Linked DNA regions of Caenorhabditis elegans. The protein of the gene in region 3 purifies or fractionates together with the protein of the main gene of each other region. This does not show direct contact. Each region holds a gene or a part of one and is shown on either strand. Other genes may lie near its edges.

Evidence for each region.
Region 1: the proteins of glrx-3 (region 3) and rpn-6.1 fractionate together in Caenorhabditis elegans (co-fractionation; one large-scale study listed by BioGRID). This does not show direct contact.
Region 2: the proteins of glrx-3 (region 3) and mob-4 fractionate together in Caenorhabditis elegans (co-fractionation; one large-scale study listed by BioGRID). This does not show direct contact.
Region 4: the proteins of glrx-3 (region 3) and nfu-1 fractionate together in Caenorhabditis elegans (co-fractionation; one large-scale study listed by BioGRID). This does not show direct contact.

What each region holds. Positions count from the first base shown.
Region 1 is NC_003281.10:6,957,111-6,965,544, forward strand, and holds rpn-6.1 (putative 26S proteasome regulatory subunit rpn-6.1), read right to left. Parts: upstream 4,892-8,434; 5' UTR 4,844-4,891; coding exon 4,798-4,843; intron 3,831-4,797; coding exon 3,738-3,830; intron 3,688-3,737; coding exon 3,464-3,687; intron 3,419-3,463; coding exon 3,289-3,418; intron 3,238-3,288; coding exon 2,909-3,237; intron 2,855-2,908; coding exon 2,549-2,854; intron 2,470-2,548; coding exon 2,281-2,469; 3' UTR 2,000-2,280; downstream 1-1,999. Other genes in the region: CCR4-NOT transcription complex subunit let-711, read left to right, coding at 1-532, 580-847, 947-1,082; F57B9.1 (Putative pyridoxamine 5'-phosphate oxidase), read left to right, coding at 5,268-5,295, 5,340-5,505, 5,559-5,712, 5,763-6,095; PolyA-specific ribonuclease subunit panl-2, read right to left, coding at 6,803-7,041, 7,106-7,199, 7,245-7,398, 7,446-7,597, 7,669-8,233, 8,283-8,434. UniProt on the Caenorhabditis elegans protein: Component of the lid subcomplex of the 26S proteasome, a multiprotein complex involved in the ATP-dependent degradation of ubiquitinated proteins. In the complex, rpn-6.1 is required for proteasome assembly.
Region 2 is NC_003281.10:8,219,915-8,226,880, reverse strand, and holds mob-4 (MOB-like protein phocein), read right to left. Parts: upstream 1,785-6,966; 5' UTR 1,777-1,784; coding exon 1,717-1,776; intron 1,670-1,716; coding exon 1,543-1,669; intron 1,433-1,542; coding exon 1,353-1,432; intron 1,309-1,352; coding exon 1,222-1,308; intron 1,177-1,221; coding exon 859-1,176; 3' UTR 501-858; downstream 1-500. Other genes in the region: rfs-1 (RAD51-like protein 1), read right to left, coding at 1-111, 206-379. UniProt on the Caenorhabditis elegans protein: May play a role in membrane trafficking, specifically in membrane budding reactions.
Region 3 is NC_003283.11:4,336,035-4,344,319, forward strand, and holds glrx-3 (Glutaredoxin 3), read right to left. Parts: upstream 5,275-8,285; 5' UTR 5,274-5,274; coding exon 5,031-5,273; intron 4,518-5,030; coding exon 3,855-4,517; intron 3,105-3,854; coding exon 2,973-3,104; coding exon of another isoform or gene 2,969-2,972; 3' UTR 2,849-2,968; downstream 1-2,848. Other genes in the region: irld-1 (Receptor L-domain domain-containing protein), read left to right, coding at 828-840, 893-1,069, 1,893-2,152, 2,199-2,289, 2,751-2,842; figl-1 (Fidgetin-like protein 1), read right to left, coding at 5,593-5,730, 6,602-7,232, 8,244-8,285.
Region 4 is NC_003282.8:10,384,342-10,390,836, forward strand, and holds nfu-1 (NFU1 iron-sulfur cluster scaffold homolog, mitochondrial), read left to right. Parts: upstream 1-3,071; 5' UTR 3,072-3,075; coding exon 3,076-3,127; intron 3,128-3,170; coding exon 3,171-3,233; intron 3,234-3,279; coding exon 3,280-3,358; intron 3,359-3,422; coding exon 3,423-3,912; 3' UTR 3,913-4,010; downstream 4,011-6,495. Other genes in the region: Ankyrin repeat and KH domain-containing protein mask-1, read left to right, coding at 1-388, 436-1,064, 1,116-1,634, 1,686-1,862, 1,931-2,259, 2,305-2,401; R10H10.3 (CUB domain-containing protein), read left to right, coding at 4,179-4,256, 4,640-4,893; Spermatocyte protein spe-26, read right to left, coding at 5,282-5,480, 5,541-5,924, 6,219-6,495.

The DNA.
Region 1 (8,434 bases), on a different chromosome or scaffold from region 3:
AAATCGATTGCCATTCTGTACAAGGGAACACTACGTGTTCTGCTGGTCATACTTCACGATTTCCCGGAGCTTCTTTGCGAATTCCACTATGTAATTTGCGATACGATTCCACCAAATTGTGTGCAACTTCGCAATTTGATATTATCAGCGTATCCACGTCAAATGCGCCTTCCGGACCCATTTGCATTGAACTTCAAACAAGTTGACACAATTCCAGAGATGGCAGTGGAACCGAAGTCCAATTTAAACATGGCTACAATCATACCAGATAACATTCGAATTCCATTGGATGAATATCTTGCAAATCGTATATCTGTCGATTTCCTTCCAAACCTGCCGACTCTTTTGCAAACTCAGAATCAAGCCGGTACCAAATACAACACTACTGTAATGAACGCTCTCGTTTTGTACGTCGGAATCAGAGCTATTGAGCACTTGCACTTGAGACGTCAACGTATCTCAACGCTGAACATAGCTCATACATCGTATATGGACATTTTCCAGAATTTAGCAATTCAATTGGATACCGAAGGTGAGGTTTTTCGAAAAACGCTTTCAATTTAAAAATCTAATTTTCAGGACGTTACCTTCTTTTCAACGGAATCGCCAATCAACTTCGTTATCCAAATGCTCATACACACTACTTCAGCTGTGTATTTTTGTATCTCTTCAAGAACTCTACAAATGACACAATTCAAGAGCAGATCACACGTATTCTGTTCGAGCGTCTTGTAGCTCTCCGACCTCATCCATGGGGACTTCTTATAACGTTCATAGAGCTCATCAAGAATCCAACATACAACTTCTGGCGTTATGAGTTCACCAGTTGTGCACCAGAAATACAGAGGTAAATTTAATTTATTATTCTCTTAGGCAAATGTTTTATAATCCGATACAATTGTCTTACTATGTTTTCGTAGACGATTTACAACAATATTTCTCTCAGATTGTTCCAAAATGTTGCCAACACTTGTGTCCCAGCCCAAGGATCTCAGCCACAAGCACAACCAGATGGTGCCCCAGGACCTTTAGGAAACAATACCGGAGCTGCTAATCAACAGCAAAACCCAAACACCAACTGATTTTTCTCATCTGGTCTTTCGGTTCCCGATTTTCTGATCTTTATTCTCATCACATTTTTGTATTGGATAGCTTCTTATGTCGAAATACGGGCTGTTCTTGATTTTCTCCTTGTTTTTTCCCTCTTCATTTTCTGCTCTCCAAATCATTCAAACACGGGGCTTCAACACAAACTCAAATTTTTGAGATATATACTACCCCTTTCGCAATTTTTGTAGCTTTTTTAAATTTTTATGCGTGATGTTCGATTATTATTTTTGTTTTATTAATATACATATGTTCACACTAGAATCTCTGCCTTTTTTCCTCGTCCCCAAAATTACCCTTTTCATGCAATTTTTAGATTAGAATAACGAAAAAACGGCTTGAAGTTAATGATGGTTGAATTTTCAGAAAGGGTGGTGGTCTTTTTCTGTAAATTCGACGTTTTCTGCCCGCTTTTTCGTTATTTTAAAGACTTGTACATCCGATAGATCGATTGCGCCATTTTCGACGTATTCCTCCGTGTATAGAAATCTTTTTAAATTGTGTGAAAACATTTAAAATCGCGCTAGATGTCTTTGTCTATTTATCGTTCCCATAACCTTTTTTCAATTTTGCGTCCTTGTTATCTGATATCATTACGATTTGTAGAGGTTTCTCTTTCATTCCCCTTTTACCAATTCGCAATAAAGAACGCGTCATTTGATATACTGAATTTCCAAATTTTTATTAACATCACAGATTTGGATATTACGTAATCATCAGAAAGATATAATTTCTACATTTGTAGCGCGTAATATCTCATAGCGACTTTCTACCGTATAATTGAACTGAAAAATAATTAGTACGGTAGAAAGTCGCTAGAAGATATTTCGCGCCACATAAATAGGAACTCTTTTAACGGTTTTGCAAAGACTTTCTATATACTGAAACAATTGTGCAACTTAAATTTATTGAACAACGTCGGGTTCGGGGGATATTTAAACGTTTACAAAATAATGCAGAATGGATAGTTTGATGCTTCCAGAGGAGGAGAAAAGTGAAAGGTCTAGGTTAAAAAAGAGGGAGTCGTCAATTATAAAAAAACATAATAAATTTTCAAAAGGAGAACGGAGGACTGAACCGTGAGGGAAAATCGAAGAAAATTTAGAAAATGGGAAAAGTCGAGATATTGTACAAAAACAAGGCAGAACAAAAAATGAAGATTCGAAGAAATCATCAGTTAATTTTCGAAGCATTACTATAGAGTGCATCGACAACCTCTCCCATTGCATGAATTGTATCCAGAGCAGTTTGGTACGCCTCATCGGGAACAGCAATTTCAAATACAATAAGCATTCCCTCGCCTTGATCAAGAGATCCCGAAAGTTTTTGATCGAGAATCATTTGGGACAACTTCTTTTCGACCTGAAAGTTTTATAAGTTTGTGTAAAAATTAACAACTTTTTTGCATTTATATTTAAAAAACAATATTTTTGGTTCTTACCTTTGATCTATCAATTCCAATCTGTTGAGCAACATGTTCAATTTGAACGAATGAGTATGGCTCAATAATACGGCACAGATCTTTTTCAAGCATTCGTTCACTCAAAGAATGGAAATGTTTTCGGACAACTGGATCCATTTGAAGTTCCTGTGGGAAAGAACCGAATGCAACTTGGAAATCCTTAAGAGATCTCTTTTGTGCAGCTGCGGCGATCGCCTTCATCGCATCCAAATCAGAACCATTGTATTTAAGAGCAAGTTTTGCGGACAGAAGACTGTTCACCTCATCTGGAAGGTCAAGCATCACCTGAAAAATTTAATATAGGATTTAAATATAATAGTAATTATTTTTGAGTATTACCTTGCACAGAAGCATATACTTAAGAGCGGTGAGGGCGGACACTTTTTCATCAACCGAATCGTATCCCTCAAATGCTTCGTAAAAGTATGAGAAAGCTGTCTTGAAGTCCTTCTCGTCGGCAGCGTGAAGAATTCCCGATTGAAGATCGAGAGCTGCTTGCATGCGAGGATTCACATAGATTGCGTTGGCAGTTGTACGAGCACCAGTGAGAGAAGCACGAGCACGACCAATATTGGAAAGATTATAGTACGCTTTGCTTTCCTCAAGTTCGACTTCCACGAGAACGTCCTTATCGTCGACTTTTTTCAGTTCACGAATCAAATCGGCAGCTGAAAAGTAGATTATCAGTTATTTTCAAATATTACAGCGAAATATATTACCAAGTGGAAGAGCCTGAGTGTATCTTTGAAGATCATTATAGAGGCGAACAAGACGAGCAGTGAGTGTTTGACGGAGGAAAGTGCGATTTTGCTCGGTGGCCCATTGAATACATTCTTTAACGAGTCCAACCTGAAAATAGTTGGGTTTATATTTGAAGCTTATTATTCTGCTCACCTTAATATCTCCATCTTGATCATCAATTTTAAGACATAGATCAACAAGATCTCTGACAAGTTTTGCAGCCTTTGCCTTTCCCAATGACACCAAAAATGGCCTCGTTTGTTCAATCATATTTCGGAGCTCTTCAGTTTGCTTATTTTGAGCCAAAATATTTCCCAATTCCATGATCGAATCTTCTTTCTTCTTGATATCATCGTCCCCAGATGCTGGTGATTTTACTTCAATTTGGGACAAATTGGAAAATTCTGAAATATGGAAAAGGACTCACCGAGATTGGTGAGGTGACGAATGACGTTTTGGTCGTTTTGATGTGGAAGTGAAGTCATTGTATCCATAATGGTTCCTCCAGACATTTCAGGTGCTGAAATTAAGATTTTAATTGCAGTAAAAAGTATTGAATTTTATGGGGTTATTCAAGTAATGTAGCAAAATGTATTAAAATACATTTGTGACGTCACAAATGTATTTAAATACATGTTTTTGTTTACTTGAATACAGCTGTGACGTAACTTTTCTACACTTTTTAATTTTCCGACACTACTTGAATAACCCCATTAAAAATGAAATAACGGAATGGAAATTGTCGGAGCCTCAGAAATCAATAAGTGCTTGCGGAAAACACACCAACTGATTATATCATTTTAAAATATGATAATTATCATTTAATTGATCAATTATCAAAATATAAACGGATAAAACATTAGAAAACTGGTAAGAAACAGAGAGTAAGACAATGACGATGACAATTCCCGCCAGCGTATTTTTCCCGGTGTGGTACGGTACACAAATGGTGTTTGCGGACTTGAAGGTGACGCGAAAATGCACAGAACAGAAAATTCAACAAAATGTTGTTTAAAATACAAATAAAGCTTATTTTTTTCGGGTTGATTAAAAAAATTCGAGTTTATTAAAAATTTACTTTCTCGTAACAATATGTTCTTCGTTGTGGTTAAATTGCACTGATAAAGACCAATAAGGTCAAGCCGCCAGTTTAACTGAAAACGGGGAGCCCTGAAAATAAAGAGTTGTTTTCGAACACCAGCATCGGGGAGCTGACTATGAGCAAATAGCGGGCTCGTATGTAAAAGAGCGGTTAGCACGTGAATTTTTGAGAGTCCTCTTGGGGGAAAAGTGGTGAATTTTAAAATGCTGTGTGGAGATCCAAAAAAAAATCAATGCAGGCATGCATGAAAAACAGGTTGATCAAAAACTTATTCTTTTTTGGAATACAAAATTGACTTTAAAACACCAAGTGCAAATAAATAATATTGAATTAACTCTTTTTCACTTTCAAGAGGTAAAGTTCAGTTTTTCAATAAAAAACGTACCTTTTCCAATATTATTAGTGTCTTCTCGTGAACTCGTTTCTCTCATTAGGACGAAAAGTTGTGTCAATTAAAATAATTTTTTGAAGCAGCTTCGAGGATGTCAAAACTTCAATGTAGATTTCTTTCATATATTTCTGAGCAGCTGACTCTCATTTTCAACTAAAAAACAACTAGTTATTTGGCACATGTTCTGGGTCTCGCCACGACTTATCCCCAAGATCCAATACATTCGTTTCAGAGAAATCTCACTTGATCCCTCGAAATGTTTGTCGTTCCTCGTCGTCTGTCATCTTTTTTATCACTAGGTAATTGATAAATTAAATGATTGTATCATCTCACACTCTAACCGTCTGGTGTCTTTTCATCTCACACGATATATGTATTTCTCTTATCATCTGTTTCTATTTCCTACGGTCATTCGGTCATATTCAGTTCACGAATATCGTCACTTGGCACGTAGATCATACGTTATGGAGACACCATCTATTGATATTCAAAGTGAGTTTATAATAATTTTTTACCAATAATTCTTGATTTTTCAGACATTCGGGCAAAATATCTAAACTCTCATGATCCATATCTACTCGAATCAAAGTTACCAACCACGTCACCATTCGAACTTTTTGATATCTGGTTTCGTAACGTCGCTTCACAATCTGACTTAACATTCGAAGAAATCAATGCAGTATCCTTATCCACCGTCGGAAAGTGAGCATATTACATTCAAAATGGAGAAAAAAACCTAGAAAGTATTAATTCAGAGATCTTCGTCCATCATCCAGAATGGTTCTTCTGAAAGCGTACACACCAACTGGCTTCTCGTTTTACACAAATTATACTAGCCGCAAAGGAAATCAATTGGAAGAGAATCCGAATGCCGCGATGCTCTTTTATTGGCCTAAAGTCAATCGTCAGGTATAATTTTCAACTGCTGAAAATTTGAAATCGAGATTATTTAATTTCAGATTCGAGTTGAAGGTGTTGTTGAGAAGCTTCCAGATGAGATGGCCGTCGCTTATTGGAATTCTAGACCAGTAGCAAGTCGAATCGGATCAAAATCAAGTGATCAATCAAAAGTGGTTCCCGATAGAGAATTCTTAGAATCCAAAAAAGTTGCACTGACAGAGTTATCTGTACGGGAAGGAGCTCAAGCAATCACGAAACCAGAATCCTGGGGTGGATATCATTTGATTCCTCGATATTTTGAATTCTGGCAAGGACAATCGGATCGTCTTCACGATAGAATAGTATTCGAAAGAGATGTTGATGTGTGGCTTCTCAAGAGGCTTTCACCATAATTCCATTCACTTCTATAGTTAAAGTTCGTGTAGATAAAAATTAAAAATATTTTCCTTGAGAAATACGTCGTATTTATTTATGAATTAGACCATAAAATTTTTTCTTACCAACGGAATTACTTCAACAAAAAATTACAAGTTAAAATGAATCAAATTAATCACAATGTATCCTGTTATATTCTTAATCACTTGTGAATTAGTTCTCGAATTATAATTTAAAGAATATGTATTTGATTCTTTAATGATCATTTTCATTTCCGAGTTATTTCAAATCAAAATGTCAATTGAAAATTTCAATTTGAAATAATAGCCCATAGAAAGGTAGGCTATCATTTTCCGAGGTTTGAATAACTTCAAGAACACCGCTTTTGAAGTTGTATTTTTTAGAGAAGAATATAGAATTAAAAATGCTAATAAATTGCAAAATTGTATTATTTACAGAAACAAAAATAAATGGTACATGATATTTTGAGAAAAACAGGGGAATGTTTCAAGAAATAATATTGGGACGAATATTGAGATTACACGAGTATTTAAAATACATGAATTGACTCGCAAAATGGGGAATTGATATACAAAGTGATAGCTTAAGTGAACTTGAGATAATCTGGTACGTAAGTAAATATATAATAATTATTATGCTGAAAGTGATAATTTTCTGGTTTTCTACGAACTTTTACAGTAAGCTTATCTGGAAGGCCTTCAATTTAAACCGACTTCGGTGCAGCATCTGCTGGATTCGTATCTTCTGGAGTTTTTCGTGTAGTAGATACAACCAGAGGTGACGATGTTTGGTTTGGCGATGGACACGGGAGAATAGTGTAGATTCGACGCATTTCTGAACCCAGAAGTCCTTGCTCTTTGATTTCCAGATATTTTCGGTACAGCTTCAGTGCATATCTCGCATCAACCACCGAGTCGTGAGCTTCCATTTGTATAGTTTCGCCTGAAAAATTTATATTTAAAATCTGAACCGAGCTAGACAAGCGAAGTTAAAGGAAAGGCCTCACCAAGAATCTCCTTAACCAGAAACTGCAATGATAACATTCTCTGGGTGCCAAGACGCATCAGAGTCACTGTGTCGATTATCTGTGATTCTGCCACCTGAAAATTAGCTTTTTAGCTAGAACTTTGCAAAAACAATCTTACATGCACATTGAGCACTGTGAAATCATTATGCAGAGCGTGTCCTACAAATGTGACTCCTCGTTGAATCAAAACATGCATTCGTAGAAGAAGCCGCTTGTGGGTTGTCAAGTATTTCTCGGAAGTCGTTGGACACAGATCAGCTTTCACGATTCCACTGAAAAAAAGTGAATAAAGATTGAATTCGAAATAAGTGAAGCATACCTAAACTTCGTGAGATAGTCGACAACTTCTACGTCATCAGTGAGCTTCACGTGATCGTCGAATATGATCCTTTCGCCTGTCGAGTCGACACAGGAGGCTCGACCAACTGCTCTCATCTGCACGGTTTTTCCGTCGAATTCAAGTAGATCGGTCTGTAAATTGAATTTTTTTTTACTAAATTCCGGATTTTTAAATATAGGGTATTCGAAACTTAGTTACTTACCTTAATCTTTATAAACTCTGCATCCAAACCGACTAATTCCTTCTCTTTCGGCAGCTCTTCCAATGATTGAACGGCCAATGACGTCATCCCGTTGCTCGCCAAATTTTCTTCCGCGAGGAACAAATCATTGGAAATAATATCCTCACTCGTTTTCACATCGAAGTTCTTCTTTTTATAAGCCAAAAGCGCGGGAAGTTTCCATCTTCCGTCTATGTGCCTTGCTTCATGATCATGCAATCGGCTCACTAGCTGCTCATTGATTAAAGTCCAGGACGATGAAATAACGGGACTTTCTCTCAACAATGTAACTGGATGAGTCCAATTTACATCGTTTTCTCCATTACCAACAGCATGAATCATCGCATCAAGCTCATAAATCACAGCAGACGGCTCATCATAGTCTGGGAGATCCGAAACATCAGACAAACGAACAATCCCCTCGCAAAGTTGAGCAGCGATTCTGGATGGAATGTAGTGTGCCCACTCTGGTAAATCCACGTCTTCAAGAAGTTTTGTCTGTTCTGCAGGCCAATCGACGAGTCCATGAACAAACTTGCATGTTTTCCTAAATTATCAAGATATTTTAATATGAACAGAATTACAAATTGAATTACTTGTTGCGACAATCCGTTCCAAATCTGCAATTTTTCTTCTCAGAAGGTGACTCTGGCACCGTTCCTAATGCAGAACTTCGATTGCCTCCTGGTTTTCGTTCAAAGAGAGATAATTGCCGACGCCAAAACTCAACAAATCCATTCGATGAAGC
Region 2 (6,966 bases), on a different chromosome or scaffold from region 3:
ATGTTCAATATGTAAAAGAAGGTGATCCGTTCGTAGAGGAGTCGCACCGATCCAGCCCATTTTTGCAGTTTTTTTGGTTTGAAGAAATTTCGCCGCAAATGAGTAGCATATCTGAAGAGAAAAAGATAAATTAAAAATTTGGAGTCTTTAAAAACTTTTAGTAATGTTATGGAAAATTCTCTAAATAAAATATATGAATTCATACCTGTGTTTTACCAACTCCTAAATCGCCATCAATTTCGTAGCATTTTCCTGGATGAAGTTCTAGAACCGGATCCAGAATTGAAAGGCATGTTCTCAAAAACAGTCTTTCTGCTCCAAGACGTACCAGAAGATCGTAGGCAGTTTCGTATTTGAATACATTCTCAGAAGGATCCATGGGAGTTTAACAATTTAGTGTTCCCTGTGTGAAAGCACAGAGAATTTGAGAAACTGAAAATGAAAAATAAATAAATAAAGGAGCAAGCAACTGTTTACAACAGAAAATCATATTATGTGACTTCTCATTTATTAATTTATTCGCAAGTTTTCTACTTTGTAGCTCATCTGGTACGTACAAGTATTACTTGAGATAGATTCGAATAGGGATCATTAGCGAATGAGAGAAATGTATCGAGTAGGAAGTTCATGGATGGAAATGGTACAAGGGAAGAAAGAATGTGCATTTTCCCATCGGAGAGATTGTGACTAAACGAAAGCTGGATGTAGAAGAAAAAGTTAGAAAACGGAGCTGTGTTGGAAAAAAAGAGAATGGAGAAAAAAATGACGGTAGGAATGAGATGTAGGGTAGAATAGAAATATTTTTAAATTATCATGGATTAGCGATTTGTGCAAGAAAATTTGGAGAAGCCAAGTATATTATTGAACCGTTGTTTGTTGTTGTTGCTGCTGATTTGGAAGAATGGGAACAATAAGATGCTCTTGTTGCATCAGATTGTACTTCGACACGTATGTGGTGAATCGCTTGCAGAGATGAGTTTCATTTTCAAACTCGTCGAACAGCTTACGATGATGGAAGAATGCGTGCGAAAATATGCGATAGACGCGACGAGCTACAGATCCCAGCTTTGAAATTGAAATTTCTTTGATGTTGACTCGGCTTGGAAAATACTTATTCGAGTTGAGCAAGGTGGCGGCTCCGTCTAGTGTATGACGTGTGTAATCGATCGCTGGACACTGTAATTAAAGAAGTTTATAAACATTTTCTCGTTAGAAAAATACCTCATTTGGGTTCTTATGAGCGGCACACAGGAAAATCCATTGTTCGGTGGCGGTCATTTGTTGGCAGGTTTCTGGGATACATTCTCTCTGAAAACCCAATACTTGAAGATGTAATAAAATTGAACACAAACTTGGAGGAGAAGAGCTAAGCCATTGAGCTCGATGCAAAATTGACGAAGATGTTCGTACTTCCACACTCCTTCATCTTGATCTGAAGTAAAGATGTTTAGAAAATAATTCGTGGACTCAGGATGAAACTGAATTCTTCTTATTTTTAAAGAACATTCTTCTAATTCTTGAATAAAGTTTCAGCTTTCTTACCCAATGGAGGAGTTAAAATTGTGGCAACATCAGCTGGATTCGCTTTAATCGTCTGTTGGATGTACTGTTGAATGTTCAGAGCACTATCCATTTCCTCAAAAGCCAGCGGCGACCAGTTATTCCAATCCTGCAACACGAAATGTTTTTGGTTTCAATTCAAAACGTTTAACTCACTGCTCGTTTTGTTCCCGGACCATTACGCCGAACAGTTCGATTTTCTGTAGCGGCCGTCATGTTTAAAACTGAAAACATAAAATTAATTGTTTGAAATTATAAAAATAACACGTGTTTTGAGCTGAAAATGTTTGAAAAACGAGCGCAAGAAAAATGAAAGAGGCAAATTGAAATTTGTTTTGTGGAACGGAGTGTCGTAGCGCGCGTTGTTTAGCATTACGAGGCTTTGGCAGATACTCATTCTATTCTGTAATTTCCTTTCATAAATTACAGAATAGAATGATTCGTGGCAGGAGTGTACGAAAAAAAAAACAAAAAACTGTTCATTTCGTTGCAATAATCAACTTAAAAAGGAAATTTATACGATAAGAAACACAATAATTTTGCCTTTTTTGAAATGCAATTTGAAATACAAAACTTCAATTTATACTATTAAATAATCTAAACATATTATATTTTGGCACTTGTAGCGACCACTATTACTGATATCGTTGCAAGAACCACTCGGAGAATCAGTGTAGTCATTTAAAGAGACGCTTTTCGTTGTCACGAGGGTACTGTAATTGGATGTAATTTTAATAATTTCAAATTATCATAAAATCGGTTCGAGTTATAATTCTTTTCAGATTTATTGTGCCTGAGCACAGACTTAATTTGACTAAAAGTTTAAAGACCTCTAGATAGAACGGACTGTAACCGATTATCGCTATTCCGTGAAAAATTGATACTCTAATTTAAAGGCACAAGCAGTTTCTCTGCATGGGTCTCTCCACGATCTCAGCTACAGTGGCCGCTAAAAAGAGAATAAAATTCCAAATTATAAACTGTACAGCGAAGACCTGGATTTTCCATCAAACAGTATATTAGTAGACAATTCTGAAAATTTCAAAAATATGGTTTTTCAGTTTCCAATCATTCTCAGCCCTTTGTGTTATGTCTCAAAGACACGAAGAGTTGAATATTAGCAGGGTTTATTGGTAAAACTTAAAACCAGAATAAATCATCATACAGAGAAAGTTCGAGTTCAATATTTGGCCACGTGTCGATGTCATTTTCATAGTTCTTCAAAGGTCATCGGTCACGTCAATAGAATAAATAAAACATTTCTTGTGTAGTTGGCCTCTACACAACAGGCCAACTACACAATTTCAAAAATATGGTTTTTCAGTTTCCAATCATTCTCTAGCCCTTTGAACGACCAAAATGCCAATGGAAACGATCCTCACAATTCTTTTCTGAATAAACTATTTATCATGTGTGTCACCTTGTTTTAACGCTTTGCTCGTGTTCTAGGATGTGTGACTATTTTTCTTGAGAATTGTTTAAAAAAATTGTAACTTATTGAAATCATTCCATAACTTTATTCCAAGTATTACTCAATACAATCAATAGAAATATCCCAGACACGATTCATCTCTTCAATGATCTTCTCGATATTCTCCGATTCTGGAACAAATGCGACCGTCTGAATCCCCAACGTCTCGTCTACTTTCAACACACATCCAGTGTTCTTGTAGAAGTTGCAGTACATGGGAGCAGAGAAGATGGTGATAAGCTTCCGTCCACTCAATACCCAATAACCATCGAAACACATTTGGTGAGCACGGATGATAAGCTCGACACCAAGACGTTTACAAACGTCATCAATCACATTTGTTCCGAAGGTGAAGCCAGATCCACGTGAACTTGTCTTCCATTCAAAAACAGATGGATCCGGATCAGCCCAGAGCATGTCATTCACAATTCCACGAAATGGGTTACGAATTGGTTTCGGGTGATTGCGAAGTTCCTGAAATGGAATTTTTAGGAAAAACGACTTCTGTTAACTAACATCAAGACATGTCAGAGCAGGAGACAATCCACCATGCATGCATAGAATCTTTGTAGCGATCAAAGCGGAGATTGGAAGATTGTTAAAACAACGCTGAAATATTTTTAAATATAGAAAGTCTAGAATGAGAACACATACCTGGAACAAAGCCCAAATCTCCTCTCCACACTTTGGAATCGAAGTCACGCATTCTTCATAGAATCCATATTTTTTATTGACTCTTGCAATTTCATGATTTCCACGGAGCAGCACAATATTCTCGGGATAGCAGATCTTATAGGTGAATAAGAGCATTATACAGACTCATCATTCCTCGATCAACATAATCACCAGTGAAAACATAAACTGTCTCAGGAGGACGTCCCAATAGAATGAACATGTTGATAAGATCGTTGAATTGTCCGTGAAGATTTCCAACTACGACACATGGTGGATCGATGTCAACAAGAGCTTTTTCCGATGAGAAGATGGTTTGAGCCTCGTAGATCACATTCTCAAATTCCTCCTTTGTGTAGTGCATTTTGTGAACCTGGAAAAAGAATTCGTGAAAAAGAAAAAGATCAGTCAAAAACCTAAAACCTAAAAACTCCTCAGTTTATTTAAATTCCCTCCAAAAGTTCGCTGATTGATTTTAAAATGGGCGGTGCTAAGCGCAAGAACATTCAAATTTCAAGGTGAAATCCCACTTTTACCGTACTTACACCGGCTTGCATCACTTGATAATGACGATCGAGGAACTCAACAAAATCAATTCTCTCCTGTGTTCGGTTTTGTGCAGTCATCTCCGGTCCATGTGCCATTTTTTTTCTTCTCTCAGAGTTTTTCGCCATTTTCTTCGTCAATCGATTCTGAATCTCAACTGCTGCTTTGATTTCAGTATTCTTTTTCGACAAAGCAATAGGCTTATTAATCTCACTAAGAGAAATAGTTCGACCTGATGTTGGTTGAGTTTTTGCCATCGAACGAACGCTTGATTTTCTATAAAATGTTCATTAATTTCAGAATTATTACAAGATTAAACTAACTCTTTAATAATACAACCTGGACGCTCATCCTTTTCATTTAAAACATTCGACTTATTTTTGCGTTGTCGATTCATTGGAGACATTGCCACGACCCGATCCTTCTTCCCTGATCTTGCTTTGGATCGAGCTTCGTGAGCAGTTTCCTCTCCATTTGAAATTTTTCAATTCGAGACGGGAGCTTGCGATTTCTCCGCCATTTTGTTGCGACAATAATGTGAAATAAATTATTTTTGAGAGTAGTTTAAAAAAACAAGATTATCATGGTTCTTCGTGGTACCACGGAAAAATAGTAGAAAAATACGTTTAAAACTTTATTTTTTAAGTTAATTTTTTCAAGCTTAAAGCAGAAACACCTATCAAATCGATTCCATTAACACATTTTCATTCAGTTTTATCCTTGATTTCTGGAATTTTGTTGAATACATTTGGATACTTGGAAGATCGAGAAAATCAAATATATTATTCCACCTGAAAATTGTAATTCATCAATGAACGGGACAATTAATTTACTGTGTTTCCCCTAATAGACTTGCACCACCCTTGCTCTACTTTGAAAGCGAATATATTCGTTCTTTTTTGTTGTATTCAAAAACTGTCAACTAACAAGATAAGTGCAAAATATTTCTCTATAGAGAGCCGAGATATAAGTCATTAAAATAGAGCACACTCTCTAGTTGCAACGTACCGAACATTTTGTAAATTTTGCGTGAATTTTCAGCCAACAATTTTAGATTCTCTCCGGCAATTCAATGTCTTCAGAAAACTTTTAAAAATCATTGGTTATACGGAAGCCATCAAAAGACGTTTGTCTCCTAGTAAACTGTCACTGCATTTTTAATGAATTTTGCAGTGGATATACAATTAACATCTTGGAAGTTGAATAAATATATTCAGAAGAGTTCCCATATCAACTAGTTTCTAGTGAATAAATCCCCAACTTCCAAATTCGGAATTTCAAACCTGAAATGTTGACAAGCGTGATCCTCCCATCCTTTTCCATAATTGTCTTCGTACCTTCATCCTTTTGTGTATGCTTCCTACCACGCTGTCACCTGCTTTCTTTCGGTCGGATGCTCCGCGCTTTCAGTTGCTCCATCAATGGGAAGGTTACTCCAAAGAACCGCAAATGCGCGAGTCAAGACACCTGTCGATAACTACCATCTTTTTTCCACCGAAAAACGAAAACATACCGTACTGCATTAATAGGCGGAAGAAGATGGGAATGAAAACGATTACCCCCTCTTAGACTGCCGGTTAATTAATTTACGGATTATTGTATATAATCGGTTTAGTAATGATTTTAAATTAGCATAAAGATAAGTGAACATGTACGAGCTCATTGATAAAAAAGTGATTATAGCTGCCAACTTTTGAAATTGAGAAACATTATTAGATTAACATAAAAACGTTCAACTTTGGCAGATTATATCTCAGTCGTCTGTTCTATTGAAAAATTATCAATTGACAACATATTTTTTTTCTATAATTTTGTAGTTATTTGTTTATAGATAACTTCAAAACAAGCAGAGATATAACGATTCAAAGTGACTTAAGAAAAAATACAGCTCATGAAAAGAAACCTCAGAAAATTCAAATTAAATTCGAGCAGTTTTTCGTGGGTGCAAGATTTTTTATTTTCAGACCAAAATAAAGTCACAGGAACAGTGCAAAAAAGTACCATCTTTCTGTATTAAAAATAAGAAAATTTCAATTTCAAAATTGATAAAGTTGTCGGGATTCGAACTTCAAAAAAACTTAATAAAAGGCCAAGTAAAAGTTAACAGGCGTTAACTTTTATTTTAATATAACTCGGTAAATCCATTTTTTAATTCCCCTCCCCAAAAACCGTATCTATAACGTTTCTGCACAACTGAGTCAATTATACCTCAATATCCCGAACGAATGCATGTAATGTTGCGTAAGACACGAAGACATCAAAAGACGGCTGTCATCATTGTTTCTGCAGCATCTCCCGACTCGTGTCATGGCACTCGTCAAGCGTCTGGTGTCGGCATGGCACTTCATAGATTCCTCTTTAGAGAATACTGTTATCAATTAGCTATGCAGGTCATGTAATGACAGATGTTCATAACTGGATTACAAGTTAGTATGTGTAACGACTTGTGTGTATCGGGTACAGTTTCTCCAGCTGTCAGGTAAATGTTTGTATAGGAATTAACAGGTAAGATCAACATAAAAATATAATATATGAAGTTTTCAAGATATAGTATTTCAAGTTTGAGGATTACATAACAGTTATCTTCAAAAATTCTAGAAAAAATATCAAAAGGCGTTCTAAAATTTGATGATATTCTTTATTACTATTAACTCCACATTGACAGTTTGTATTGGTTATTTTTGTGATATTCAAATATTTGATATCTGGAAAAAAAT
Region 3 (8,285 bases):
GGTGAAGCCAGAGAATAAAATATATGGTGAAGCCAAAGAGTAAAATATTCTGTGAAGCCAGAGAGTAAAATATACGGTGAAGCCAGAGAGTAAAATATTCTGTGAAGCCAGAGAGTAAAATATTCTGTGAAGCCAGAGAGTAAAATATACGGTGAAGCCAGAGAGTAAAATATTCTGTGAAGCCAAAGAGTAAAATATTCTGTGAAGCCAGAGAGTAAAATATACGGTGAAGCCAGAGAGTAAAATATTCTGTGAAGCCAGAGAGTAAAATATTCTGTGAAGCCAGAGAATAAAATATATGGTGAAGCCAAAGAGTAAAATATTCTGTGAAGCCAGAGAGTAAAATATTCTGTGAAGCCAGAGAGTAAAATATTCTGTGAAGCCAGAGAGTAAAATATTCTGTGAAGCCAGAGAGTAAAATATTCTGTGAAGCCAGAGAGTAAAATATTCTGTGAAGCCAGAGAGTAAAATATACGGTGAAGCCAGAGAGTAAAATATTCTGTGAAGCCAGAGAGTAAAATATACGGTGAAGCCAGAGAGTAAAATATTCTGTGAAGCCAGAGAGTAAAATATTCTGTGAAGCCAGAGAGTAAAATATATGGTGAAGCCAGAGAGTAAAATATTCTTTTTTACAATATTATACTCCAACAAAAAATGAGCCATGGTTTTTTACGTGAATTTCCAATTTCTAAAAGTTATATTTCATGTGGCACCACGTTTCATATGCTCTTATCACATTTCAAATTTAATTTCTCCCATTTCCCGGATTGTTTTCGATAAATTATCGTGTTTCTCGAATTTTCGCAATCCCTTCAACCAAATTTTCAATGCTGTCTGAAGGTTAGTTCTATTCTGTAATTTATATTCCTTTTTTTTTAATTTTATTCTCCAGTCTATAAAACTCTACTTCTCGCCGTCTGCTGCTTTTCTGCCGTCGATGGATTCCGTAATGTGTGCTCTGGATCCGATTTGAGCGTGAGATCCAACTTGGACGTTAAGCAGCTCAGTGAATTGCTGAAGGAGGATCCGTGTACTCATGTTGCTGGGGATGTTGTGATTGAGAACTTGAGTAAGTTTGCATGCTCGAATTCTATGGGGCCTCAGAAGTATGCCCGATTTGTAAACGCGCTTCACGGCTAATTGAAAAAGCTCCGCCCCGCTAGCAATGGGTCTCGTTAGGTATTTGGCGGTTTTTAATTAGTTGACAATTTTTCTGTTATATTCGTCGTTGTTTTTAATGAAATTAATGCCGAAATTAGTAAAAAATGTTTTTTTTTAACCCCCCCTCCCCCCCCTGAGAATACGTATCGCGCAACACATTTGATTGAAAACATAATTTATTTGAAAATGGAATATAGCTCTCGCTAAGCGAAAATAAATTAATTTAAATATTCAAAAAATTGAGCCCGTAAATCGACATCAGCGCTACAGTAGCCATTAAAAGAATTACTGTAGTTTTCGCTACGAGATATTTTGCGCGTCAAATATGTTGTGCAATAAGCATTTTCAGAATTTTGTGTTCCTGTAGGATGTGTACTTCAAGTGGAAGAAAGGCGAGTTGATTCTCAAAAGTAAAAAAATAGTCTTTGCAACATCGTGTGAAATTTATTTAACAAATCAATAATTCCTCTGGCCTAGGAGCTGAAAATAAGCTGGCCTAGTTTCAGTATTTACGATTTTGCCGTAAATACCTAATGAGACCCAACGGCTAGGGGCGGGCAATTTCATTTTTCCGTGGAGCGCAATTGCACCTCGATTTTAAAAGACGCATTTTTCTACGTCTTCATAATACGTGGCCGCAGTGCATCTTTTTGAAAGTCATCTAATATCAAAAACAAACAAAAATTGTTCGCTGTGAGACCTGGTAGTTCAAAATTCCGGTTCTTTCTCAGCTGACATCGCAATTCCAATTGAAGTCTACAAACGTGTTCGCCACGTGCACGGATCGATAATCATTGCGAACAACACAAATATCAGCTCTCCAATCCATTTCCCGTCTCTCCGGTCCATCAATGCATCGCTTCTTCCGTGCATTTTGGTCCTCTTCAACGAAAACGTCAAATTTTCAGTTGGCGGTCAATTTTCGAAGGCTCTGACCCAACATCCGATAAAGTTTGCGGTTCTTAAAAATAAGAATCGTGTTATTGATATGGTATGTGTGATATGCGTAAGCAAACTCGCTCTACTGAGAATTTCAGAATGATTACAACTTGTGGTATTTGGCGGGACATCCAGCTCGTACATTCCTTATCGACTCGAGTCTCTCCGCAGAAATTTGCCTGGAGGATGGTAATTTTTGGTTTTTTTTGGGCCAACTTACGGTACCCGGTCTCGAAACGACATTTTTGTTGCATTCAAATGGGTGTGCGCCTTTAAAGAGTACTGTATTTCAGAACTTTCGTTGCTGCGGTATTTTCATCGATTTTTTATAGTTTTTTGGTCGAAATGTGTAAAACTTGATCAATAAAACAAGAAACTATGCAAAATCGACGAAGAAGGTTTTCAATTACAGTACTCTTTAAAGGCGCACACCAGTTTGAATTTAGTTTAAAATGTTTCGTGTCGAGACCGGGTACCGTAGTTTTGGCATAAAAAATGTGTTGCGGCTGGCCAGACCACTTTGAATGTCGTGATATCGTAAAAATTTGCAACATTTGGTACTTATTTAAAGTAGGTCTCGCCACGATTTCAGCCATAGCCACAGCTTTTCAACAAATCCTTCTACTCAAACACAGTGAAATTAATTTCAGTATTCAAACCACTCGCCGGAATCATGGGTTTCCTGTTTGTAGCACTTGCTTCCGCGTTGTCTACGATCTTGTTCTATGACCGATCGAACTGATGAACAATCTCTGTACTATTTCATATGGACAATAAAATAGTTTACACACACATAAAGTAATTTGAAAGGCAATTAACGGGGGGTTTCCGGGGAATATATCAAGAAGACAAGTAGCGTGGAATGGAATTAATTAATCATTTCTAATTCTTGGAATCTGACGAAGGAAATGCGTATCCAAGAGCTCTTCCTTGACGACATCAAGCCCTCCGACGAGCTCTCCGTCGAGATAGAGCTGTGGATAAGTTGGCCAATTGGAGAATTTCTGTAAAGTTAATTTGTTAAAGGTGAAGTAGTGCCAGTGGGGAAACTGCTTTAAAACACGCCTATGGTACCACAATGACCAAATATCACCGTAAGAAACTTTATTAAATTTTTTTCTAAATTTTATATGATTTTTTGAAAATTGAAAAAATCTCAGTTTGAGTCGAATTCCAATTTCAACCTCCCGCCAAGTGATTTTAGCGATGGAGCGCGCTTGCTCGTTTTTATTTTTATTTATTGTGTTTTTCTTCTTCTTATTTTCCACCGATTTTTCATGTTTTCAGTGTATTTTTATAGGAAATTTGAAGGAAAAGTCAAGAAAAATGTAATTTATCGATTAAAAATCAAAAATTAAAGGCGTAAAAGCCTGAAATAGTTCAATTCAAAGATTTAAGCCTTTAATGTTGATTTTTAATCGATAAATCACATTTTTCTTGACTTTTCCTTCAAATTTCCTGAAAAAATACACTGAAAACAAGAAAAATCGGTGGAATATAAGAAAAACAATAACAATAAATAAAAACAAAAACGAGCAAGCGCGCTCCATCGCTAAAATCACTTGGCGGGAGGTTCAAATCGGAATTCGACGAGATTTTTTCAACTGAGATTTTTTCAATTTTCAAAAAATCATATAAAATTTAGAAAATTTAAAATAAAAAAATTTTACGGTGATATTTGGTTATTGTGGTACCAAAGGCATGTTTTAAAGCAATTTCCCCATATTTTTCGACAACATTTTTTGAGAGCTAACCTTAAGCCCTTGCCTGACTTCCTCATCCTCCAAGATATCAAAAGTATGATAATCAGCACGAGCCTTGTTCAACAAATCAACGATAGTTCGTGAAAATCCGCACTTTGGTGTCTCCCGATCTCCTTTCATAAATAGCATCAATCTTTGCGATGAGACAAGCTTTTTGAGTCGATCTTCAAGTGATCCCCCCTCACTATTTTCTCCAACTTTCGGAAGTTGCTTGATAAATTGTGGATCTGAAAACTCCTCCTTGACGACATCAAGCCCTCCAATCAATTCTCCATCGAAATAGAGTTGAGGATAAGTTGGCCAATTCGAGTATTCCTTTAATCCTTGGCGAACTGCTTCATCCGAGAAAATGTCGAAGGATCCGAATTTGATTTTATGTGAATTTAAAAGTTCGACAATAGTTCTCGAGAAACCACAACGTGGCGCCGATGGATCTCCTTTCATGAAAACCATGACTTTTTGAGAATTGACCAGCGCACCCAATCTGGCATTTAGAGCTTCCTTTTCTTGTTGTGGAGTCAGTGAAGGTGTGGAAGAGGTTGTAGATGAAGCATCCGATGAGCTCTGGGAAAGGGATCGGCTGGCAACAAGAACAACTTTTGATTGGATCTCTTTTGGCACGAAGCCATCGATTCTGTCGACTTCTTTGCCATTCTGAAATTAATCATTTTTTATTATGAATTGGATGTATTGTAAAATTTCGCTTAAAGGCGCACGGAATTATTCAGATGGGTCTCGGCACGCAGAAAAAGTTTATGGTAGTTATTTCTTGCATTTTTCAACGAAATTACTTTGTTTTAGCGTATTTTATCGTTTTCTTTTCATTTTTTTCTGTTAAAATTTTTAGAAACCAGTTTTTTAGGTACAAATAAACATTTTTAGCAGAAAAATGGAAAGAAAACGAAGCAATTTTTATTGAACATTGCATGAAAAACTACCATAAACTTTTTTGCGCGCCGAGACCCATCTGAATAAATATTTTGTAAAATAGGACTTTTTGGTTTTTTGTTGGTATTTTAACGAAAAAATGATTTCAAAATGTGGTTTTCAGTGGTTTTTAACGTTTTTCAATGACTTTTTTCCTAAAAAAAAGTTCAGAATAAATCGAAACTTTTCTTTGTTTTTTTTCACAAATTTCAATTTCTTGTTTTTTCGTTGCTCACTTACACTAAAAAATACAAGCGTCGGCGCAGCAGTAATCTTGAAATTCAACGAAATTCCGGGCAAAGCTTCAGCGTCAATGAAGGCGGCACGAAGCGGCAGAGCAATTTCAGCGAGCAAATCATCCAGTAGCTGATTAACTTGCTCACAGCTTGGAGCCCACGATGCGTAGAAATGAAGAACAGCTGGAGATGGTTCCTTAATGAACGCAGCAACCTCCTCTCCTGACTTGATTTCTTGAATTGGCATTCTGGAATTTTTTGGCTGGCAATGGTAAAAAGCTAGAAATTTGAATAAAAAAATTAAAAAAATATACGAGAAAGGTAAAATAAACCTTGAAATTTCAATAATGAATAATGAAAAATATGTTTAAAAATTGAAAATATATAATAATTTTCAGAAAAAATATAAAAAAAAACAATGAAATACGGATCGTTTTGAGATCATAATATAGAAAAGAGATGGAATGCATAATACAGGAGAAGATTTCAATGAAAATAAAAATAAATAAATAGAAGAAGTGGATGGAATTATAGTACACATATTCGACAGCTCAATTCTGAAGGTCTCAACGGGATATTGAAGGAGGTGGAAGGCAACCGAATTTTTTGTCCCAAGCCGCGTAGGCATCCAATTGAGAATCGTCGACTGTTGGCCGAACGACACGAGCTGCTTCGGCGAAATCCATTACAGTAACGGCACGAATCTGAAATTTTCATCGATTAGTTGATTAAAACCGGAGCATTTGATGTTTCAGAGCTCGAGTGTTTATCTAATTTTTATGATGACCGAGTGCAAAAATAGAAAATAAATGTGACAATTCGTACGGCAAATGGTAAATAAAAAATAATAAGATTCGTCAGTCATGTGAGAGAGTTGCGAAATTGTTTGTTGTTGTGGCATGACATTTCATAAATTTTCGAAAAGTGTTCATTTTCGGAACATGGAGGTGTTTTATTATGTGGACGGAGGAAAATGAGATTTTTTAAATTGAGGTGCAATCGCGCTCTAACGCTAAACATTGGGTCTCGTTATGTATAAGAGGAACATTAAATTTATATAATGCGTATTGTGCAACATATTTGACGCGCAAAATATCTCATAGCGAAAACTACAGTAACTCTCTAAATGTCTAATGTAACTCTTGTGTCGATTTACGAGATTCATTGTTTCGAAAATCGTACCCGTAAATCGACACACGCGCTACAGTAGTCATTTAAAGAATCACTGTAGTTTTCGCTACGAGATATTTTGCTCGTCGAATATGTCGTGCAGTACGCATTCTCCGAATTCAGTGTTACCGTAATATTGGCGGCAAATTCAAGTTTTTAATTCGATTTTACTGAAATCATCCGTTTATATGCATTTTTTGATTTATTTTCAGTTGCTTTCTGGTTTTCATGCCGAAATGATTCTTGAAAATGCACGTGAAGCTTCGATATTAACGCATAATCAAAAGCAATGGGATTTTTTTTCTTCCTAACGAGACCCAGCATTATGAGGCGGGGCAATTTCAATTGGCCGTGGAGCGCGATTACACCGATCACAAGTGTTTGATATTAATTCAGAATCCTCACATCATCCTTATCAATCGTCTCAATATCGTCTCCAATGTCTCTGATAGGACCCATCGCTGCTTCAGTGCACAATTGCCTCATGTCAGCTCCAGAATAGCCGTCTGTAAGCTCTCTAATCCGCTCCAAATTATGATTTGTGATATCATGACGCGTGCCTACAAGTAGATTCTGCACAATTTGTGTGCGCGACTCTGGCTCCGGAAGCGCAATGTACAGTCGCTTCTGGAAGCGTCGACGAGCAGCTTCATCCAACTCTTGTGGCCGATTTGTGGCACCCAATACAAGAAGCCGTTCATCTGGAGCCGTATTCACACCATCCAACTGTACCAGGAACTCTGTCTTGATGCGCCGTGAAGATTCGTGTTCCGATTCCGACCGGGATGATAGTAACGAGTCGATCTCATCGATGAAGATAACACTCGGAAGTTTCAGACGAGCAACTGAGAACAGAGCACGAACAAGCTTTTCACCTTCTCCAACCCATTTTGAGGTTAACGACGATGCTGAAATATTGAAGAAAGTGGCTTTGCACTGGGAAGCGACACATCTCCCGATCATTGTTTTTCCGGTTCCTGGTGGTCCGAATAGAAGAACACCTTTCGGTGGAGCACGGATTCCGGTGAAGACGTCACTGAAAAAAATTATAATTGTCAATTAAATTTTTGGAGGATTTTTTAAATTGCTTTATTAGACTCAAAATTGTCTGAAAACACCGAATTTTATAATGAAACTTCTTGAAAAATTCTCAAAAAAAAGTTATGACGGCTCAAAAAATGGCTTAAAATTAGTTAAAATTTGAAATTTGACTTGTCAGCGGATGGAAACAATTTTTTTGAAATCACCGTAAAATTTTGAGTATACAGGTCAATTATCTTGCGTTTTCAACTCGATTTAGGTATTTTAAAGTCGATGGACGGCGAGATTAAAATTGTTTTTTTTTACCAAATCTCGCCGTCCATCGACTTTAAAATACCTAAGTGAAGTTGAAAACGCAAGATAATTACATTACATACTCAAAATTTGACGGTGATTTAAAAAAAATTGTTTCCAGCCGCTGCGACATTGACAAGTCGGTCAAATTTCAAATGTTAACTAATTTTAGGACATTTTTTAAGCCTTCATAACTTTTTTTTGAGAAGTTTCCAAGTAGTTTCATCATAAAATTCGGTGTTTTCAGATAATTTTGAGTCTAATAATGCAATAAAAAATTCGACTACACCACCTTTAAAGGAGGTTTTTTTGCGTGTATAGACTAAAAGCACAAAATAAGCGTTCAAAACCTCGTAAAAATAGCTAATTTTATCTAAAATCTCGAATTTCGTCTATTTTTCCTGTCCGCATCAGCTGAAACACTATTTTATTGAATTATCATCCTTTTTAGCATCTTTTGGTGGTTTATATCACATTTTTTCGTCAATTTAGGTTCATTTAAGTCGATAAAAAATTAAACAATTAAATTAAAAACACCTATCGGCTTTAAGTGTACCTACGTCAACAAAATAATGTGAAATAAACCACCAAAAAAAGTGGAAAAGTTGACAAAAAACGAGATTTTAACCAATTTCAGCCATTTTTGAGCACTTTATGAGTCTGAGCAAGCTAAAAACCCGAAAAACCCTTTTTTTCTCCTTTCAGAACGTACGGTCTTTTAAATGGCAGTACAACAATCTCCCGTAATGCTTTT
Region 4 (6,495 bases), on a different chromosome or scaffold from region 3:
AAGAGTGCAGTTGATTCGACTTATGCTCCATCATCCATTCCAAAATCTTTATCTTCAGCAAGCATTGCTCGTCAATCTGCCTCACCTATTCCACAACAATCGTCTCAGAGATCCGCTAAATCACACCATCATCAGAAGGACTCGGGTGGCGGTAATGTGTGGCATCAAAGAATGGCAGCACGAGAAGAGAAAGTTGAGCCCTTAATGGAAACGAAACGAATTTCACAGTCACCGAAGCAAGCTCCACAAATTCCATCTACGCAGCAGCAATCAAAGTTACAATCCCGGCAGGATCAAGCGTCTGAGACTCTTGTTCGAGTTGCTCCTGCAGAGAACTTTGTTGCTCCAGTGCCCGCTTCTTCAATTGCAGCTCCATCGAGACCCAATCGTACGTTTTCCTTCTCCTTGTCTCTGAATAACTTTGTTTATTTTCAGAAAATGTTCTTGATCGTGTTATTGCTCCATCACTCCGGAGAGAGCCAACCACAACTCCTCTGATTCAACCAGTTCATCCAGTTCAATCTGTTCAATCTGTTCAACATATGCAACAGCAACAGCTAGCGCGACCAGAACAAAAGCTTGCTCAGCCATGTCTTCCAGACCCAATTGGTCAGCGATACTCGCAACCAATTTCACGACCACAATCATCGGTTCAAGTTTCGCAGTCTTCTTTCTCCAAAGCACCCGGAACTCGCCCTTCAACTGATTTCTCTCGTGCTCCTGGTCCACCACAGCAACAACAGACTCAAAACAATATGACTACAGCTCGAAACGAATTGTTTGATGAACAACTTGCTTTTGGTCAATTCAAACCGACTGGAATGAATTCTGTTGCTACCGTAATCCCTGCCAAACCTTCAGTAAATAATCAAAACGACGACAAAAATGGAAACAGTGATGACTTCGATTTTTCCAAAATGAGAATGTTTGATGAAGGCAAAGTCGGGAACATATGGGGAAAATCAGATGAAGATTCAGCTTGGGGAGGATTGTTTTCTCAATTCCTTCCACAATTGGGTGCCAATTCGAGTTTGAACAATTCCAACTCAAAAAATGATTCATCGGTTAGTTTAACAGCATTGAAAACAAATTTCTAAATTTTTATCTTATTTCAGAATGAATGGGGACAAAACGAGTTCATATCGCAGCTTCTTATTAACTCATCACTTCCTAATGCTACTTCGAGTCCACAAGGTGCTTCAACCATATCATCAGCACCAGTGCAGCAGCCATCTACGTCTTCTGTTACTACTGGATTATCTTCTTTGGAACTGAAAGGTTGGATGCCAGCCTCATTTGCACCGTCTGCTCGTGATCCGAATAGATCTCAACCACCCCTGTTTGCAAGATCTCAATCGAATTCTGTTGCTAATAGCACTTCCACGAATATTCAACAGCAACAACAACAGCAAATTCAACACCTTCAACAGCAGCAAGCACTACAACAACAACAGCAAAGGATTCAGCAATTCCAGCAACAATACCAACAGCATCAGTCTCAAAGTTCTCAGCAACCAAGTGACTTGATGTCTTCAAAGTTTTCAATGCTACAATCACAACAACAGCAGCAGCAACTTTACAATCAGATGCAGTCGCTAGGTCAAGATGGACAGGGATCCAATCTGTATAACCATGTAGGGATCCGTGATTTATGTCTGAAAATACGTTATTTGATTTATTTGCAGCTTGCCGCCCAATTATTGACTCATCAAGAGAGTTCTACAGGAGCACCTGGTCCAACAAGTAGTCAACTTGCAAATAGCTACTATCCATCACCTTCGTATACGGATGCCAGTGTTTTAGGGCAAATTAGCATGCCGTCATTGTCACAGAGAGGAATAAAGCAATTTGATGGATTTAATGTAAGTTTAGGACAAATTTGATGTTAAGATAGCAGGATCAGTTTAAAAATTAATGAATGGAAATTTAGAATGACTCTGATGGCGTTATTGCTGCTATTCTCGAGCAACAACAACAACAGAAGAAACAAGGACTCGCACAACAATCGTTCATGCATAACTCTCAACAGCCACAGCCGTTCGGAGCTCCCAGCAACGCTTCTGCAAATCAATCGCGACTCGGAATGATCCAACCTCGGCCCCAACCGCCACCATTTGTTGCTCCACAAGCTCCACCTGGATTCTCTTCTCTTGGAAATGCATCTTCCACGACGAACCCATCTCGAACTTCTATGCAGCAAATGTATCAGCAATACGGACAGAGTTCACAGCAACAGCCTTACGGTCAGATGCCTCAAGCGTAAGTTCTACGATTTCTAATTAAATATTTGTTTATTTATTACAGAATGGATTGGAACCGACTTGGACAGCAACAGCAGTCTGCATCTGGCCAACAAAATCATCAGTCATCCTCGTCAAATAAATGGTCTTCCAACTGGTAGATATCGCTCACAAAATCGTCTTCTTGTCAATTAGTCCCCCCTCCCCTCATAATAATTCGGTGTTTACTTGTTTTTTATTCAACCGTGAAACAATATGTCTTCCCGGTTGAATTGCATCCATTTTTCTTTATTTCGTCTCCTCGTTCCGGGTTTTGTAACACTTTTTCTTCATTTTAAATCTAGCCTTTTTTGGTCCATTTTTTCTTTCAACTCTCAAATGTTCGATCTTTCCCATCCCTAGCAAGTGTTTTCTTGCGAGCTCAGCCTTGTGGAAATTGTACTCTTCTGTCCAAATTATTCCCGTTTACCCATTTTTTGTTCTTTTTATATCTCCCCCGACATACTACTTCTTTTTTTTCGGTTATTTTTCAAGTCTTCCAACACAACACATATGTATTTGAGACGGATGTCAAATGGTCCCAACTTTTTCTTCCCTTTATTGAAAAGTGTGTCTTATTTTTCACTTTTGATGTTTTACTCGTTGTTTCATATGAAACCTGGGCATTTATTTCATTGCTAATTAATTATGACTTTCTTCGCTTTATGTTGATCCATGAATCGTGATTCTTGAAAGTATACAGGTTAGGCTATTGAAATGTACAACTCGAGGTTTTGATTCCTATATCTTGAGAATTAAGTCGGTAGATGTTGAAAGAACAAAAATTTTCAGAAAAATGATTTCATCAAAAATGCTCACAAGACTGAACCGGAGCTTTGTACAAGCAGGTGATACTGGTTCCAGAAATTCTTTCATTTTTTAAAATTTCAGCTCGATCAATGTATATTCAAGTTCAGGAGACACCTAATCCACTTTCTTTAAAATTTTTACCTGGTTAGTGGAAACTTCACTGTTTAAAATCTGAAATGTAGTATTTCAGGTCAACAGCTTCTCCCAGACGCCTCGAAAACATACGATTTCAGCTCAGCGGCTACAGCAAAACAAAGTCCACTTGCTATGTAAGGAATATTCCAAATTTTAACTACCATTCAGATAAAATAGTATTTATTTGTAAATTTTCAGAAAACTTCTTCGAGTCGACGGAGTGAAGCGTGTGTTCTTCGGAGAAGATTTTGTAACTGTCACGAAATCAGATGAGACTGTTGACTGGGCTCTCCTCCGTCCGGAAATCTTCTCAACAATTGCTGATCACATTCAAACCGGAAAACCTGTCATAAATGAAGCTGCAACTGTTTCCGACCAAGTGGAAGAAGATGATGAAGTTGTAATGATGATCAAAGAAATTCTAGAGACACGTATCAGACCAATGGTACAAGAAGATGGTGGAGATATCACTTATGTTGGTTTTGACGATGGTGTTGTCAAATTGAAGATGCAAGGTTCATGCACAGGATGTCCAAGCTCTGGAGTCACTTTAAAAAATGGAATTGAGAATATGCTCACATTCTACGTGCCTGAAGTGAAGGAAGTTATCGAAGTTAAGGATGAATCCGATGATCTTGTGGAACAAGAGTTGAAGAAATTTGAGCAATCAAAAGGAATCAAAGACTAATTGATAATTGATTCGTGTATAACTAGATTTGTTTTTATTAGTGTTTGCTGCTAGAGATAAATGTTCAATGAATATTTATAAAAACTTTTTTATTACTTTGAAAGTCGTATTAGTAGAATTGGTTTATGACTCTGAAATCATCGAATCACGTCAAAGTTCAACGGCCCAGTCCAAATCAGTGATATCAGTTAAAAGACTTATCACCCGGAAAAGTGGAAAATTGTGCTTCGTAAATTGATAAGAAATCAGTCAGAGTGCTGCTCAAAATGTTGAAACAAATTCTTCTCGTCGCTATTATTTTAAATTTAGGAGTATCTGCGTATAAGAAGAAAAGCTTGATTCATGTTAGTTTTTTTTTCAAGTTTTTGAATTTTCAATGTTATCCAGACGCGGAATTTTGCTATTTTTGCGGCTGGTTCGGTTTCTGAACGACATCATTTTAATAAATGCGGAAGGTACGCGCCTTTAAAGTGAACTGTATATCCAAACTTTATTTGCTGCGGTCAATTCTTCATAGTTTTTCGAGAAAAATATGTTTTTTTATTTATTAAACAAACTACATTTTGAAATCAAAATACAAAAATCTTCAGAAAAACATGAGACAACAACTTTTGCATTTATCAAAATTTTATCGTGACGAGACCGGGTACTGTCGCTAAAGTTCGCGTCTGAGTAATTGTGTCTGTAAATTATAAATTTAGAATACTGTAGAATATAAATTTATCAGAATCATGACAAAGTGATCGTATCAAACGACGACTTTATTGGATGCCCAGTTAACAATGATTTCTATTACAATGGAACCATTAATTCACCATTGTATCCATACAATTATCCTCCAAATGACAAGTGTTACTATTACATTTCTGCTGAACCAGGAAAAGTTCTCAAGATTTCATTCTCTCATTTTGATTTGGAATCTTGCTGTGACTTCATCACAATTTATGATGGACCAACTGTAGTGTCGAAGAAACTTGTACAGTAAGTTTCTATTTTTTCACAATTTTAAATAATTCAAATGTAAATAAGATACGTACGACGTCGTACGTATATAAGAACATACGCACAAGCAAGGGCTGTCTTTTATAAAGGTGTTTTAGGTTTTTGGTTTTATGCCAAAAATTGTTTTCATAAACGATTTTGTATTTTTTCGTTCCAAAAAAGTTAAAAAAGGGTAAATTTTGGTACTGAGGTAAAGTTATTTCGCCTGATCACAGGCACAAAATGACAGGCAGGCACATAGGCAGGCAAGAAATGTGGGACAAACGCCTTAAGATGTGCATGCTCAAATAGATTATATCTTTGAACTTTTCATTGACTGGAAATTGAAACCTCATTTATCTACTTTCCGAGTAAAAATGTCAAAAGTTCAATTATTAATTGACATGTACGATGCACCAGCATCATCTTCATAATCATCATCCATTTCCATTGATTGTTCATTGATTGTTCCTCTACGTTCCAGAAAGTTTCTCCAATTTGGTGCCACCAAAACGTTCAATGCACTTTTGGCTCTAGGAACATCAGGAATAAAACTGAATCGAGATGCATTCGGTTCAGGGAGCAATCTTTAAAAAGTTATTGTTGAATTTCGAATCGAGCTAAAAATTCTTTAAAAATTAACATACATTTCACAAGTAGCTTCGACTTTCTCCGTATATCCAGCCACTGAGAATAACCATCCTTTGTAAGAACATGCTGCACTAGTTGATCTTCCATAGATCAACTTCTCCGGTCGTTGCTGCCATTCACCAGTTCTGTGCCACATCCAAATCTTGTTTTGTCGTTCGGCACCATCAAATCCTCCAACAATAAGCAATTGGTTACCGTGGTTGAGAAGACAATGACCAGTTATTGGATACGGTAGATCAACAGTTCGAGAGAAAACATTTCCAATTGGATTGTAGACTTCAACAGACGCAAGAATCATGTCACCATTGAAACCACCACTAACGTAGATTTGATTCTCAAATACTTCAGCAGCACAGTCGGAACGCATGTCTGATAGGCTTCTAAAAATATAAAGCAGATTAATCGGGATACAAGCAAAACATTATAAAGATGCAGAAAAACCACTTTTGAAATCGACATGCAAACATGCTCTACGGTCAATTGATAACGCTCCGCCCCCGAACCATGGGTCTCGTTAGGTATTTGGCGGCAAAACTATTCCGAAATCGATGTCATTTCCTTACAGTTTTTTTTTCCACCAAAGGGCTAACGAGGCCCATGATTCGGGAGCAAAGCGCTCTCAATTGGCAACGGAGAGCATTTCCAAGTCGATTTAAAAACGCCACAGGGCTTACGCAGTTTCAGTCCATTTATTGGTCTTTGGATCGAAAACCTCTCCTGTACGACTTCTCACTGCAGTTCGAGTGATCTCTCTGAAATTCTGTCCTCCAAACACATAAATCCTCCCGTCATACACCACAGAACTGTTTGAAATGTAGTTTCGTGGTTCCATCATATTATTGCATCGATCCCATTGCCACGTTTCCGTTGACAATTTCCATGTTTCGCAACGAGTGCGCTGACCAGTCGAACCACCGAACAAGTAGAGAATTCCATCAACAATTGCTGATC